Linked DNA regions of Saccharomyces cerevisiae S288C. The protein of the gene in region 4 interacts with the protein of the main gene of each other region in a biochemical or structural test. Each region holds a gene or a part of one and is shown on either strand. Other genes may lie near its edges.

Region 1 (3,131 bases), on a different chromosome or scaffold from region 4:
TGCTGCCTCTGAACCCGAAACTTCTAAACGTCCACTCTATTGTCATTGCATCCTTTATTGAATATTCAGGTTTCAACCAAAGTGAACCCTTTGTGTTCTTTCCAGGAGTTAAAACAAACCTCCCTTCTTCAAGTTTTACTTTGTCACCCAAAGTCCATTGTGAAAGTTCTTTTTGCTGATCTGTCACTTCTAGCAAATTTGGTAGCGAGTATCCTTTATTCCATTTCAATTCATCCTTCTGCGTCACTTTTCCGTGTACCATCCACACACACATATATAACCATATCAGTCCATTAATGAAATTCATCTTCTTTTGCTTAGTTCCAGCTTTTGTTCCTGTGATTTTCCCTAAAAGCTGAAGAGAGGAAGCTGTCTTTCTTGTAGTCATCCTCCCCTAACTCGCTTTGACGAAATACTACAATGAAATATGCTATTATTCTGAAGACAGAAAACCAGAATAAAAGAATACGGTAAGGAAAAGTTAAAAATCCTGTTAATGTTGTAATATAGAATATCCTGTATATATTATAATATGTAAAATGTTGATGTTAATGCCCCTTTGCAAATAAATGTAGAATAAGTAAGTAAATAAAATATAATCGTTCCAGAAACTTTTTTTTTTCATTTCTTCAATGCTCTTGATCCCTAGATTGAAACAATGCCTTTGGCTTGAATCTTCTCTTTTCTTCATCCGTTAACCTTCGTTTCTCTACCACCTCTCCCTTCTTATTGACATATGTTATTACGTCTTCTATATCTGGGTTTTCTCTCAACATTGCCCTTTTACGTTCATTTCTAATTTCCTGAGTGACCAGTTCATCTGATGCAAAGGGATTTTTACCCACCCGCACTGGATTGATGATGATGTCTTCCTCGTCTTCACTTTCTTGACTCCTGGCGTCATTTTTCGGAGAGTTGTTGTTCCAATTTTTTGCCAATTCAAATGTTATCACCTTGTCGCTGGGCGTACCAGGTACATCTTTAATAATCTTCTTTCTATGTGTCTGATCAAACTCATCTCTTTCAAGTGATAAATGTAACTGCCTGGCAGATGTAGGTCTGCTGGGGGGAAGAAGAACTTCTCCTTCTTCTTCTTCTTCTGCTGCATCTATATCCACATTTTGCTGCGTGGGAAACAATATCCTATTTACACGACCCAATGGTTCCTGCTCTTCCCTTACTGTTCCATTATCATGACTTTCAAATTGGAATAGTGTCCTCTTCACTGAAGATTTTGGAAACGGCGAGCGTTGAGGAGACGTAAGCCCATTAAATGGAGAGGTCATACCCATGTTCGAATTGGGAGGTGCTAATAATGGCGCATTTTTAAAAGACTTAGTTGTTGAGGGAGTGACAGGGACTAGGTTCTGTGAAGGCTTTTGGGGGGTCTTTTGACCTTGCATTAGGGCACTAGAACTAGTATTGCCACTAGGCTGCGCAAGGTACCTAGTCCCTCTGGACCTTGGTGGGGTGGAAGGAGTCATTTTCGTGTAATAGTCCCTGCTTCAAGGGTCAAAATTCCGTAGAGGTTTGGTTGATTGATTTACAAAGACAATACCTTATCCTTTGGATATGCCTTCTCTCTTTTTATAAATATCAAAAGTTGCGACGCGAACAACAAGCCAGCCATTGAAATTTTCAGTGTGCTGGCTATAATAGACAGGATCGACGCTGTCGATGGAGAAGGAAACACGGCAATAGTGCAGATATTATCGTGACTTAATCATATTGATTTGAGGGGGGAATGGTATGTTTGATCGCCGGAGGCATCTTTTCTCATTATTGCTAAAACAAGATGTAATACTAACAGGGTATTTTGCTACTACCATCAAATAGAACGCTCTTTACAACCATGCTGTGAAGCAAAAAAATCAACTACAACAAGAGTTGGCCAGGTTTGAAAAGAATTCTGTGACCGCCCCTATTTCTTTACAAGGGTCCATCTCTGCAACTCTGGTCTCACTGGAGAAAACAGTTAAGCAATATGCAGAACATTTAAACAGATATAAAGAAGATACTAATGCAGAGGAAATTGATCCTAAGTTCGCTAATCGACTAGCAACTTTAACACAGGATCTGCACGACTTTACTGCCAAGTTTAAGGATTTAAAACAATCCTACAACGAAAATAATTCCAGAACTCAGTTGTTTGGCTCAGGAGCATCGCATGTTATGGACTCCGATAACCCCTTTAGTACATCAGAGACCATCATGAATAAAAGGAACGTTGGTGGTGCGAGTGCAAATGGTAAAGAGGGCTCTAGCAACGGTGGGGGACTACCGTTGTACCAAGGGCTACAAAAGGAACAGTCTGTTTTCGAAAGGGGTAACGCTCAATTAGATTACATTCTAGAAATGGGCCAACAATCATTCGAAAATATAGTGGAACAAAACAAAATTTTATCCAAGGTACAAGATAGAATGTCAAATGGCCTAAGAACATTGGGTGTTTCGGAACAAACTATCACCTCTATCAATAAACGGGTGTTCAAAGATAAACTAGTCTTTTGGATCGCGTTAATTCTCTTGATCATAGGTATTTATTATGTGTTGAAATGGTTAAGATAGAAGTAACCGTGAGTTCTATATATAAATAAACATACCATATATACATGCATCATTATAAGGGTTGAAAAAACATCGCGAATCTCGCTACTTTCCTTCTATGCTCTTTCGTTTCTCAAACCCGCCAGTATAAGCAACTTTTATTACCATTGGTGACTACACGTTGCTCCTTTTTTAAGTGTAATTTACTGTTATAAATTGAGTCCAAATCTGTCGTGTCTTGTCCTGGTTTGAGAACTTCGGGAATGTTCATTGGCTTAGCGCATTTCATAGTTTTCTTTCCAATACCTAGTTGGCCATGGTCGTTATTACCCCATGCAATGACCTCGTTTTCTTGTTCAGTTTCAGTGAACACACAATGAGAGCCGCAACTCCAGTTGGTCAATTTCTTGTCATCCGACTTGATTTTTATGGGATCACATTGCGAGTTCTTGAAAGTGTTGTTGCCCAATTCACCAAAAAGTCCATTACCAAACGCGAAATAATGATGGTCTGACGTTGAGCCAGGCTTACGAATGGTCACAAACGATGTTTCATCATCACAATGAATATCCACACATTTCCAA
Region 2 (3,607 bases), 380 kb from region 4:
TTTTGCATTTTATCTTTTCCCTTAATATGTCATGAGAATAAAATATTAAGGATATACCGTAAATATACAAATTCGTATCGAATATTTGATATTGTTTCCTAACTTTTCTGTGTTAAAAATAAATATGCAAAAACATACTAACCATAAAAATAAATAAAATACAAGATATAAATAAATAATCCAGCAAGCAAAGACATTGCGGTCCATGCCATAATTGTTTTCTTCCAACTATTAGATTTCAGTGTGCATTATTTCATGTTTCTTTTCTTCAAAACGTTCTCAATAAATGCTTCACCAGCCTTATATGACGATCTTACTAGGGGTCCAGATGCACAATACAAGAATCCCATCTCTAAAGCTCTCTCTTTCCAGTAGTCAAACTTTTCGGGTTTCACATATTCTACGACTTTCATATGTCTCTTGGTTGGCCTCATATATTGACCAAATGTAACAACATCACATTGAATATTGCGCAAATCCTTCAAAGTTTGAGTAATTTGCTCATCAGTTTCTCCTAGACCCAGCATTATTGATGTTTTAGTAATCAGTGACGGAACCGTAGCTTTTGCCCTTTCTAAAACACTCAAAGACTGTCTATAAGTAGCTCTTCTGTCTCTGACATGTGGTGTTAGTGATTCAACTGTTTCCAAATTATGTGCGTAAACATCAAGCCCACATTGTGCCATAATGTCCACCATCTTCAAATCACCTCTGAAATCACCAGAAAGAGTCTCTACAAGAGTATTTGGTGCCTTCTGTTTGATTTTGCGAACCGTCTCGGCCAGGTGATTAGCACCACCATCGACTAAATCGTCCCTATCAACGGTAGTTAAAACAACATAACCCAACCCCCATCTTTTGATAGCTTCGGCAGTATTTTCGGGCTCCATTGGGTCCGGCTTACTAGGCGTTCTATTGGTCTTCACAGAACAAAACCTACATCCACGAGTGCAAGTATCACCAAGCAGCATAATTGTTGCCGTTGCCTTAGATTTATCTTTGCCTCCCCAACATTCACCAATATTGGGACATCTTGCCTCCTCACAAACAGTACTCAGGCCTAATTCTTTTACGTCGCCTTTCAATTTATGGTAATTGGTACCCTTAGGAATAGGAACCTTAAGCCAACGAGGTAGTTTTTTAGCTTCCTCTGTATTTTGCCTTGCCTTCTCCAGAGGGTCCAAGATCATTTTCGAAGCTTTACCTGAAACAAAATCTGCAAAAGATGGACCCAAATTAAGAGCATCTTTGAACTCTGTAATTCTTTTTCTGTTCCCCTTGCGTCTTTTTCCCGAAGTCCCTGTTAACTGACTGGTTGCATTTTCAACCTCAGTTGAATTTCCAACTGGTACCCTAACGCTAGCGTTATCTGAATCAGTATTCAATGCATTGGATCTTATTGGCCGAGTTGCGCTCGTTCCACACCTAATAGTGGACGAAATCCATCTTGTATTTCTCCCAACAAATAGTACTCCAACAGATCGTCTATACATTATTGTGGCTTAACAGTTCTCCTTAAAATCCACATAACTGACAAAACTGGATACTTAATGCCCATCGAGTCATATACATATATTTGATTACTACAAGTGCTTTTCAAATAACTGCTTCGAGAAAAGCGTCCGGGTAATAACAACTATTGAAAAAGCATGGCTTCGCATTAATAGGAGCCAAAAATATGAAGATGAGCCTCGAAGTTTATCTAAACTACCACCAAAGAAGACCGACTAGATTTACAATCATGTATCCAGGTAGTGGACGTTACACCTACAACAACGCTGGTGGTAATAATGGCTACCAACGGCCCATGGCTCCTCCACCTAACCAGCAGTATGGACAGCAATATGGTCAGCAATATGAACAGCAGTATGGACAGCAATATGGGCAACAAAATGATCAGCAATTCAGTCAGCAATATGCTCCACCACCAGGTCCTCCCCCTATGGCTTATAACAGGCCTGTGTATCCCCCCCCTCAATTCCAGCAGGAACAGGCAAAGGCACAATTAAGCAACGGCTACAACAATCCTAATGTAAACGCATCCAATATGTACGGTCCACCCCAGAATATGTCATTACCTCCACCTCAAACACAAACTATTCAAGGTACAGACCAACCTTATCAGTATTCTCAATGTACTGGGCGTAGAAAGGCTTTGATTATCGGTATAAACTACATAGGTTCAAAAAATCAACTGCGTGGTTGTATCAATGATGCTCATAACATCTTCAACTTTTTGACTAATGGGTACGGTTACAGTTCAGATGACATTGTCATATTAACTGATGATCAGAACGATTTGGTCAGGGTTCCCACTAGGGCTAATATGATTAGGGCCATGCAATGGTTGGTCAAGGATGCGCAACCCAATGATTCTTTGTTCCTTCATTATTCTGGACATGGTGGCCAAACTGAAGATTTGGATGGGGACGAAGAAGATGGGATGGATGATGTTATATATCCGGTCGATTTCGAAACTCAAGGGCCAATTATCGACGATGAAATGCACGATATAATGGTGAAGCCCTTACAACAAGGTGTTAGACTAACAGCATTGTTTGACTCTTGTCATTCGGGTACAGTGTTGGATCTTCCATATACCTATTCTACTAAGGGTATTATTAAGGAGCCCAATATTTGGAAGGATGTTGGCCAAGATGGCCTGCAAGCAGCTATTTCATATGCCACAGGAAACAGGGCTGCTTTGATTGGTTCTTTAGGTTCTATATTCAAGACCGTTAAGGGAGGTATGGGCAATAATGTGGATAGAGAACGCGTGAGACAGATCAAATTCTCAGCAGCAGATGTTGTTATGTTATCAGGTTCGAAGGATAATCAAACTTCTGCAGATGCTGTCGAAGATGGGCAAAATACAGGTGCAATGTCCCACGCCTTCATCAAGGTTATGACTTTACAACCACAGCAATCATATTTATCTCTTTTACAGAACATGAGGAAAGAATTGGCTGGTAAGTATTCTCAAAAACCACAATTATCATCGTCACACCCTATTGACGTAAATCTGCAATTTATTATGTAGAAATATATGAATGTGTACGTTGGTAGATGTATTCAGACTGGTGTAGTATGTGATTCAATTTTTATTTTTTTAGAAAGCAGAAACAATCTAAGCTATTAATACTATATACATATAGGCAAAGATATATAGGGAATAGGCATTTTGGAAAATAAGACCATGTGTTTTTTTAACGTAGTGAATACTAAGTACAGAAAAAAACATCACCTCAACCAAAGAAAAATTAAGTAATGAAGAAAGATCAGGAGAAAAATTTTTTTCTACTTCAGGTTTAATTTTCTTTATCTTTTTCAGACTCTTCCTGTTCTTTCAATCTTTTTTCTTCCAATTCCTTTTTTACTTGTTGCTCTTTGTTAGAGTAGTCCAAATTTAATTTCTCAATTTCCTTTTCGACAGATTCAATGTTTTGTTTTGTTTGCTCTTCTTGTTTCGACAAAAGCTCTTCATGCTTCTTCTTCAATTGCTCAACGGTGATCTTGACATCATCACTGTTGATTGGGACAGTTACGTCTAATTCGGCCAAAGTAGCAATTAGTGTTGGTTCTAAAGTAAACTTGCCATCGACTTTGT
Region 3 (5,020 bases), on a different chromosome or scaffold from region 4:
TAATATTACATGAACTGCTATGGTAAAAATTTAAACGTGCAGTTCAGATAGTACTGAAGTCTAAGTTAAAGATATACTAATTTTAACATGATTTGGTAGTCATATATATGAGTCATATGAGTCGCTACATTCAAATGTACAGTAACTATCAAAACCATTATTGTAGTACCCGTATTCTAATAATGGACCAATCCGCGTGTGTTTTATACTTCTAATATGAAAGTAAAGAGGTCCAGATTTAACCTTCACTTATTACTTCCTTTAAACTTTAGTTATCAACGCCATATGTCCCAAATACAATAAAAAAAGATTTGACGTCCAGTGGACTTTTTTGTCCATTGTTTACTTTTAGATTATTCACAGCAAGATGAACTAAACGTTAAAATGTGAGCTCTTTTGCTCGGGTGTCAAGTTCAATTAAACAAATTCCATTAGTTTTATTAATTATATATATTATATTACTGATTCTTGTTCGAAAGTTTTTAAAAATCACACTATATTAAATTAATCTAGGTCATCATCAATTTCCATACTGTCCTCATTATCGTCATCACCTAACGTGTCAGCCCCTATAGTAGCTTCGTGATTTGGTAGAACTTCCAGACATTCTTCAGCTTCCTCAGGAACATTTTCATCACGAGATTTACCCTTCTTCAAGACGACATTGACAGTTTCCTTATCCTTGATTTCATTCTTTAAGATCCTTAGTGCCAGTTTGTTCAAAATTTCGTTTTGAATTAACCTGTTCAGTGGACGTGCACCCATATCATCGGAATAACCATATTTGGCCAAGAAGTCCTTGGCCTCTTGAGTTAAATTCAACTTGTAATGTTTATCATTTTGCTCGAATCTCTCTTCAATTTCCTTCAAACGAATATCCACGATCTTATGAATAGCTTTTCTAGATAGCTTGTTGAAAATGACTATACTAGAAATTCTGTTCAAAAATTCTGGTCTGAAATGTTGCCTAACAGCACCCATGACCAAATTCTTGGTAGATTCTTGGATCTTTGATCCTTGTTGAGAATTGATAAATTCAGCACCTAGATTGGAAGTCATGATGACAATACAATTGGAACAGTCGATCGTCTTACCTTGACCAGAAGTAATTCTACCGTCATCCAACATTTGTAGCATGACAGTCAAAACATCAGGATGTGCCTTTTCTACTTCATCGAATAACAAAACGGAGTATGGTTTGTATTGCAGTTGGTTAGTTAAAAAGCCACCTTCATCGTACCCGACATAACCTGCCGTGGTACCCAACAACTTAGAGACCGCATACTTCTCGCTTAATTCAGAACAATCGACCCTGATCATCATGTCCTCATCATTAAACAAAAATCCAGCAACTTTTTTAGCCAATTCAGTTTTACCGGAACCGGACAAACCTAAAAATAAGAAGGATGCTGGTTGCCTTGGATTAGCTAAACCTGATCTAGACAATCTAACGGCATTGGAAACAGCTTTAATGGCATCCATTTGGCCCACGACTTCAGATGATAAGTCACGTTCCATATGAATCAATTTTTCATTTTCAGATTCTGACAACTTCTTAACAGGGATACCAGTCAATCTTGCAGCTGTTTCAGAAATGGTGTCTGAATCGACCACATTTTGGATCATGGAGTTGGCACCAGCACGTCTCTCTTCCTCAGCAACCTGATCTTCAAGCTTTTCGATTTGCTTTTTGATATCTGGGATGGCGAAGTACCTTAAATCAGCGGCGGTAGCAGTATCATATCTACGTTCAGCATCAAGGGCCTTGTTTTCCAGTTCATCCAATTTCTTTTTAGCTTGTGTCAATTCTTCATGGCCATGCTTTTCTTCATTGTAACGTTGTCTTAGAGGTTCCAATTCTTCTTGCAATGAAGCTTCCTTCTGCCTAGCTAACTTTAATCTATCTTTAGTGGTGGAGTCGGCATCTTCATCTCTCTCTAGAGCTTTTATCTCTACTTGAATCAATTGCAATTGACGTTCCTTGGAATCCAATTCTTCTGGCTTAGAATCTCTTGCGACGGCGACACCAGCACAAGAAATATCAACTAAATCCAAAGCAGAATCTGGCAATCTTCTATATGGCAAGTAACGCTTGGCTAATTGAGCAGCAGTGACTAAGGCGCTATCCAGAATCCTTACACCATGATGTATTTCATACTTTGGTTGCAGACCTCTCAATATGGCCACTGTTTGTCTCACACTTGGTTCAGCGACTTCAATTTTCTGGAATCTTCTTTCAAAGGCACCATCCTTTTCCACAATAGATCTATATTCGTTATTGGTGGTGGCACCGATGACCTTCAATTGGCCTCTGGACAAAGCTGGCTTCAAGATGTTAGCAGCGTCGTCCTTACCATTACCCATTAACATGTGAATTTCATCAATGAATAACACAATTAGAGTCTTTGATTCTTCGATTTCCTTCAAAACACCTTTGAATCTTTCTTCGAAATCACCTTTGTATTTAGCACCTGCGGTTAATGCGGCCAAATCTAGACTGAACAATTTAGCGCCTTGTAAGATAGTGGGAACGTCATCGTCAATGATTCTTTGAGCAACACCTTCAATAATAGCGGTCTTACCGATACCTGGCTCACCAATTAAACATGGGTTGGACTTAATTCTTCTTGCTAAAACTCTAATAGTGCTTCTTATTTCTTCTTCACGGCCGATGACAGGGTCAAGTTTACCTTGACGAGCCTGCTCAGTCATATCAATGGCGTACTTTGATAAATATTCCAAAGGTGTGTTCGTATCAGCGCCACGAGAGTCAATTCTAGTGTTACCACGAAGTTCAAGAGCTTGTTGCTTGATGGCCTCAATATCTACTTGAGCTTCCTTAAATATTTGCTGAATAGACGAATCATTGAATAGAGCAAACAATATATGGTCTTGCGCTATAAATGAGTCCTTCTGTTGTTTTTGAATCTTAGCAGCGTCTTGAAGGACTTTCCCCAAAGCATAACTTGGAGTTATCTCCGCAGGTGCAGGTTGCTGTTGAGGAATTCTTACTAGATTTCTATTAACCACTTTCTTGAAAAGATCATAGTCGTAACGGCCCTTCTCAATTAGATTCTGTAGGTAAGGGACTGATCCATCTTCTGGCGTTTCAATGAAGGCAGCTAGAATATGTATAGGTTGTAATTGTGGATGTTGATGATCCGAAGCCAATTTTTGAGCCAACGTCAAAATCGTTAGAGCCCTTTCTGTAAATTGCGTTTGGTCGTTCATATATTCTGTATATTTTATGGTACGTGTAGTTGATTTCTTTTTTCTTTGTTATTGCTGATTCGATTCAAGGGTAAAAAGGAACAAGTGACAAAGGAACGAATTATGAAGGAATTGAGGCAAGATTACAATGCCTTATATAATAATCTGGCAGGTTGCATAAGTTTGCGCCCCTTTGCCTTTTACTGTGATATAATTTGCAGTTCTTTGAGATGGGCCCCCTGTTGAAAATTGAACAAAAAAATCGCGGCCCCTTATGGAACGTTTAAGATTGTAATTAATAACCCTTCTAGAAAATTCTGGAAAAATATATATCTACAAGAACAACGAAAGAAAAGTTAGGAACAGCAAACACTACCACGATGGAGGGTTCAATGTTAATATGTATGATAAATATGTAAATAAATAAGTAAATGAATAAATAAGTGAATAGGTAGATTCTTTTTTTCTAAAAATGGTGCAGAAGGTTTTTAAACCATGAAACTCTCGCCACAACCGCATGTGCCCTTGGAGTTTGGATTCTTGAAGACAAACTTAGAGGCCAACTTGTCGTCGATCCAGTCCATTTCACTTCCAATGATGCTGAATAACGCCTTTGAATCGATGACAATTTTAACGCCATCTTGTTCTACTACCTCATCGAATTTCCCCGGCTCGGTGATATATTGTAGATCGTACGTTAGTCCTGAACATCCACGGTTTCTAGCGCTAACTCTAATCAATTTAGGTTCCGGCTGAGCTAGCAGTGCCCTTAAATGCTTGATTGCCTTCGGACTCAGGGTGATCAGCGCCTTTCTTGGTCTCAATTTCCTCTTTCTTTTCTTGGGAGGTTCTGTGCAAGAGCAGTCATTCTTGGATACTGCAGCAGCTATTTGCTCGTCTATAGCTTTATTCTGCTTCTTGATGGCCTCCTCATGAGATTTGATGGTCTCACGCGAAGGGAATGCGTAGCTCGACCACTTCGGGCTTTTAGAAGCCTTGCTACTCTTGCTCTGATTGGAAACTATGAATTTGAAGGGCTTCTTACCTGGACGTTGACTATCTGGAGAGACAGAGTCTGCAGCTGCGGGCACTGTCTTCGGTATGAATTTTAATTTGAAAGGATTTACGTTGTTGATTGTGCGAGACATTGTGCCATTCGTACCGCCTCGCCAAAATCCTCCAGTTGAAAGGAATCTGTGTGCCAGCAGTACTGAATTCCTGCTTCTTCCTGTGTTTATCATTATGTTACGTTATTGTTCCGATCGTTTGTTATACTACCAAATCAAAAAAATCTAAAATGGTCTTTCGTACGAGTGCAAAAATGGTGGCCAAATGTATAAATAAATAAATAAGACGAGTAAAATAATGTCAATAAATAACAGTTTCTTAGTAATTCTAAAGGATTTACAAATATTTGCAAAATTCCATTACTCTTCCTTGCTTTCCTGTCCTCTTTCCCTTTCCTTTATGAATTAAAAGCATCTCAATCTCTTTCCTTTATTCCGTTGAAATTCCCTGTCAATTTTAATCCAAAATAAAGAAGTCATTAAACGGGCATTTACCGGGTGACTGTTATCTGACCAATGAAATCTGAGGGTATGACTAATAAGCCCCCGCCCGAGTTTCGGCCAAGGGTACGGACAACGCCGAGAACCGGCGATGAGAAGAACAATAGCTTTTATCTATTTCTTATTAGAGAGGGATTATTAATCATTAATTAGTGTTTTATTTAGTAACTATGGGCTATACATAACAACCACATAAGAGGAGTCTTGGAGGAAAAAAATGGGAAAAAAAAAAATAGTAGAAA
Region 4 (3,321 bases):
CAAGTGCACAGAATTCAGGATCGGCCACAGGTACAGCTGGATCTGACTCTACGAGTGGAAGTAAAACTCATAAAAAGAAAGCCAATGTAGGGGCAATTGTAGGCGGCGTTGTAGGTGGTGTAGTGGGAGCCGTAGCCATTGCTCTTTGTATCTTGTTGATTGTCAGACACATTAATATGAAGCGGGAACAAGACAGGATGGAAAAGGAATACCAAGAGGCGATAAAACCAGTTGAGTACCCTGATAAACTATACGCCTCTTCATTTTCATCTAATCACGGGCCCTCTTCAGGTAGCTTCGAGGAGGAGCACACCAAAGGGCAAACTGATATTAACCCTTTCGACGACTCAAGGAGAATAAGTAACGGAACATTCATAAATGGCGGACCAGGAGGGAAAAACAACGTTTTAACAGTGGTCAATCCAGACGAAGCTGATTGAAGAAACCCAAAAAAAATTATTATATTCTTAAACTATTGCCAAGCAAGTCTTGTTCCTTCCCATTAATTTTTTCTTTTTCCGATTTCATTTTGCCAAATCATCTCCATTTTCACATTATGATGATCCTCTAAAAATTCATACATTTCGAATTTGAGAGCTGGAGAGCTGGAAGTAACGAGGAACATTAAATAGGAACAACAAAATTAGATTAGTTATTTTTTTTTCTACTCATTAATTTTTTTATGATATATTTGAATACCAACCTTAACTTAGTTACATAGATTTAACAAACATTAAACATGTTAATTCTTTGAAATGAATACCACCTAATAAAACTATACATTTTCAAAATAACAAATTGTTATGAAACTAATAGCTAATTATCTTCTAGTGACAATAACCACTTTACTAGAAATTATTAAAAAAATACCGCGTTGAAAGACGATATAAAGTAGGAGATTAATAAATTTATATTCATATTTTCTTCAATCTAATGAAATTGAAGCGCAAGGATTGATTATGTGATAGGATGCGTGAGTAGTAATGCATGAAAAAGGAGGAAGACGTGATTATAATATATGATGTAAAATTTTGATTCCATTTTGCGGATTCCTGTATCCTCGAGGAAAGACCTCTGGCATATTATATAGGGATATTATTCCTTTACAAAAAATGGAATGAAAGAATCAAAACAAAATTGTCATGTTTGCACAATTGCGTATACCATTGCATATAATTATGTCGAAAATCATCAATATGTATGGGAATGATCATTCCATTTTTTTCACACTGGCATAATAATTTGAATATAATAATAATGGATGATGGGCATTATTGGGAAATAAAACTATGAAATTTGCTTTTAGTACGTGTATCGATAAATATCTCTAATTTTCTCAAGATCTGTTCCTCGTGGCCCAATGGTCACGGCGTCTGGCTACGAACCAGAAGATTCCAGGTTCAAGTCCTGGCGGGGAAGATTTTTTTTAACATTGAATAGAAATTACAAAGGTCTTTTATGCTATTTTAAAGGGCTATAGGCGGCATAATATTTGCTTTTAACCTTATTGTCATGACATTCTAATCACAACACTTAGCCCTTCTTTTGTATTTTTCCAAACTTTTTCAAGTCTTAAAATTTTCCCAATCGAAAAAAATGGAAGATCCGAGAAGGTTTTATTGCCCTACGCTTAATCCCAAATTTTGCCACCATATAAAATGAGTACGAGCGATATAATCGGACAACTGAATAGAAGCTTCTGACCAAGTGATATCTTATTAATACAAATCTACTGTACGATGTCAGCATCAAAAGAAGAAATTGCTGCCCTTATTGTAAACTACTTTTCTTCCATTGTGGAAAAGAAAGAAATTTCAGAAGATGGCGCCGATTCTTTAAATGTTGCTATGGACTGTATCTCTGAAGCCTTTGGCTTTGAAAGAGAAGCTGTTTCAGGCATTTTAGGCAAGTCTGAATTCAAGGGTCAACATCTTGCTGATATATTAAATTCTGCGTCAAGAGTTCCAGAATCGAATAAGAAAGACGATGCTGAGAATGTCGAGATTAATATTCCAGAAGATGATGCGGAAACTAAAGCCAAAGCTGAGGACTTGAAAATGCAAGGTAATAAAGCAATGGCCAACAAGGATTACGAACTGGCAATCAATAAATATACTGAAGCCATTAAAGTTTTACCAACGAATGCTATTTATTACGCCAATAGAGCGGCTGCTCATTCATCCCTGAAAGAATATGATCAAGCGGTCAAAGACGCTGAATCTGCAATTTCTATTGACCCATCTTATTTCAGAGGCTACTCTAGATTGGGTTTTGCTAAATATGCGCAAGGTAAACCCGAAGAAGCCCTTGAAGCATACAAAAAGGTTCTTGATATAGAGGGCGATAATGCAACAGAAGCTATGAAAAGGGATTATGAAAGTGCCAAGAAGAAGGTTGAGCAATCTTTGAATCTGGAGAAAACCGTTCCAGAACAGTCAAGGGATGCTGATGTCGATGCAAGTCAGGGTGCTAGTGCGGGTGGATTGCCAGATCTTGGTTCTTTATTAGGAGGTGGTCTTGGAGGTTTAATGAACAACCCACAATTGATGCAGGCTGCGCAAAAAATGATGAGCAATCCAGGTGCAATGCAGAATATTCAAAAAATGATGCAAGATCCAAGTATCAGACAGATGGCTGAAGGCTTTGCTTCAGGCGGAGGAACTCCAAATTTGTCTGACTTGATGAATAACCCAGCACTCAGAAACATGGCAGGCAATCTTTTTGGTGGAGCAGGTGCCCAATCTACAGATGAAACACCAGACAATGAGAACAAGCAATAGTGGACTGAAATAAGCCTTTAATGCAATACATGTTATGTAGATACAAATATAGCTCTATCTAGGATGAGTGTTACCAGGAATTTTATTTTTACTTTGAGATCACTTGCGAAATACTTAAATAGGGACTGTAGTTTACTTTTTCTTTTTTTCAGGTAAATTCGTCGATTTTCGGAGAAGACTAGAAAATATAATGTGATGAGAAACTACATAAAAAAATTTTTACTAGTAAATGTCTATTTGAAATACTTTATCGAAAAGCTTTTTATGTAAATCTGTATAGAACTTCTCGCGTAAGACAGTTGAGTAAGCAGTAACAATGGGAAAAGGTAAAAATAAGATGCACGAACCCAAAAATGGAAGACCACAGAGAGGCGCTAATGGGCACAGTTCCAGGCAAAACCATAGGCGCATGGAAATGAAGTACGATAATTCAGAAAAAATGAAGTTTCCTGTTAAACTGGCTATGTGGGATTTTGATCATTGCGATCCAAAGAGATGCAGTGGTAAAAAACTTGAAAGGTTGGGCTTAATTAAATCATTG

What was found.
Region 1: the proteins of SGT2 (region 4) and BOS1 form a complex in vitro, tested with the Saccharomyces cerevisiae proteins (4 studies listed by BioGRID).
Region 2: of the proteins of SGT2 (region 4) and MCA1, one has a biochemical effect on the other in vitro, tested with the Saccharomyces cerevisiae proteins (one study listed by BioGRID).
Region 3: the proteins of SGT2 (region 4) and HSP104 form a complex in vitro, tested with the Saccharomyces cerevisiae proteins (one study listed by BioGRID).

The regions. Positions count from the first base shown.
Region 1 is NC_001144.5:285,173-288,303, reverse strand, and holds BOS1 (Bos1p), read left to right. Parts: upstream 1-1,744; coding exon 1,745-1,747; intron 1,748-1,836; coding exon 1,837-2,568; downstream 2,569-3,131. Other genes in the region: EMP46 (Emp46p), read right to left, coding at 1-388; cyclin-dependent protein serine/threonine kinase inhibiting protein SIC1, read right to left, coding at 630-1,484; FMP25 (Fmp25p), read right to left, coding at 2,681-3,131.
Region 2 is NC_001147.6:715,345-718,951, forward strand, and holds MCA1 (Ca(2+)-dependent cysteine protease MCA1), read left to right. Parts: upstream 1-1,741; coding exon 1,742-3,040; downstream 3,041-3,607. Other genes in the region: LIP5 (lipoate synthase), read right to left, coding at 249-1,493; BFR1 (Bfr1p), read right to left, coding at 3,309-3,607. UniProt on the Saccharomyces cerevisiae protein: Cysteine protease that cleaves specifically after arginine or lysine residues. Mediates cell death (apoptosis) triggered by oxygen stress, salt stress or chronological aging.
Region 3 is NC_001144.5:86,834-91,853, reverse strand, and holds HSP104 (chaperone ATPase HSP104), read right to left. Parts: upstream 3,232-5,020; coding exon 505-3,231; downstream 1-504. Other genes in the region: Fe-binding Fe/S cluster assembly protein ISA1, read right to left, coding at 3,699-4,451. UniProt on the Saccharomyces cerevisiae protein: Required, in concert with Hsp40 (YDJ1) and Hsp70 (SSA1) and small Hsps (HSP26), for the dissociation, resolubilization and refolding of aggregates of damaged proteins after heat or other environmental stresses.
Region 4 is NC_001147.6:338,397-341,717, reverse strand, and holds SGT2 (Sgt2p), read left to right. Parts: upstream 1-1,739; coding exon 1,740-2,780; downstream 2,781-3,321. Other genes in the region: SLG1 (Slg1p), read left to right, coding at 1-440; ribosome biogenesis protein TSR3, read left to right, coding at 3,097-3,321. UniProt on the Saccharomyces cerevisiae protein: Co-chaperone that binds to the molecular chaperone Hsp70 (SSA1 and SSA2). Regulates Hsp70 ATPase activity. Required for recovery from heat shock.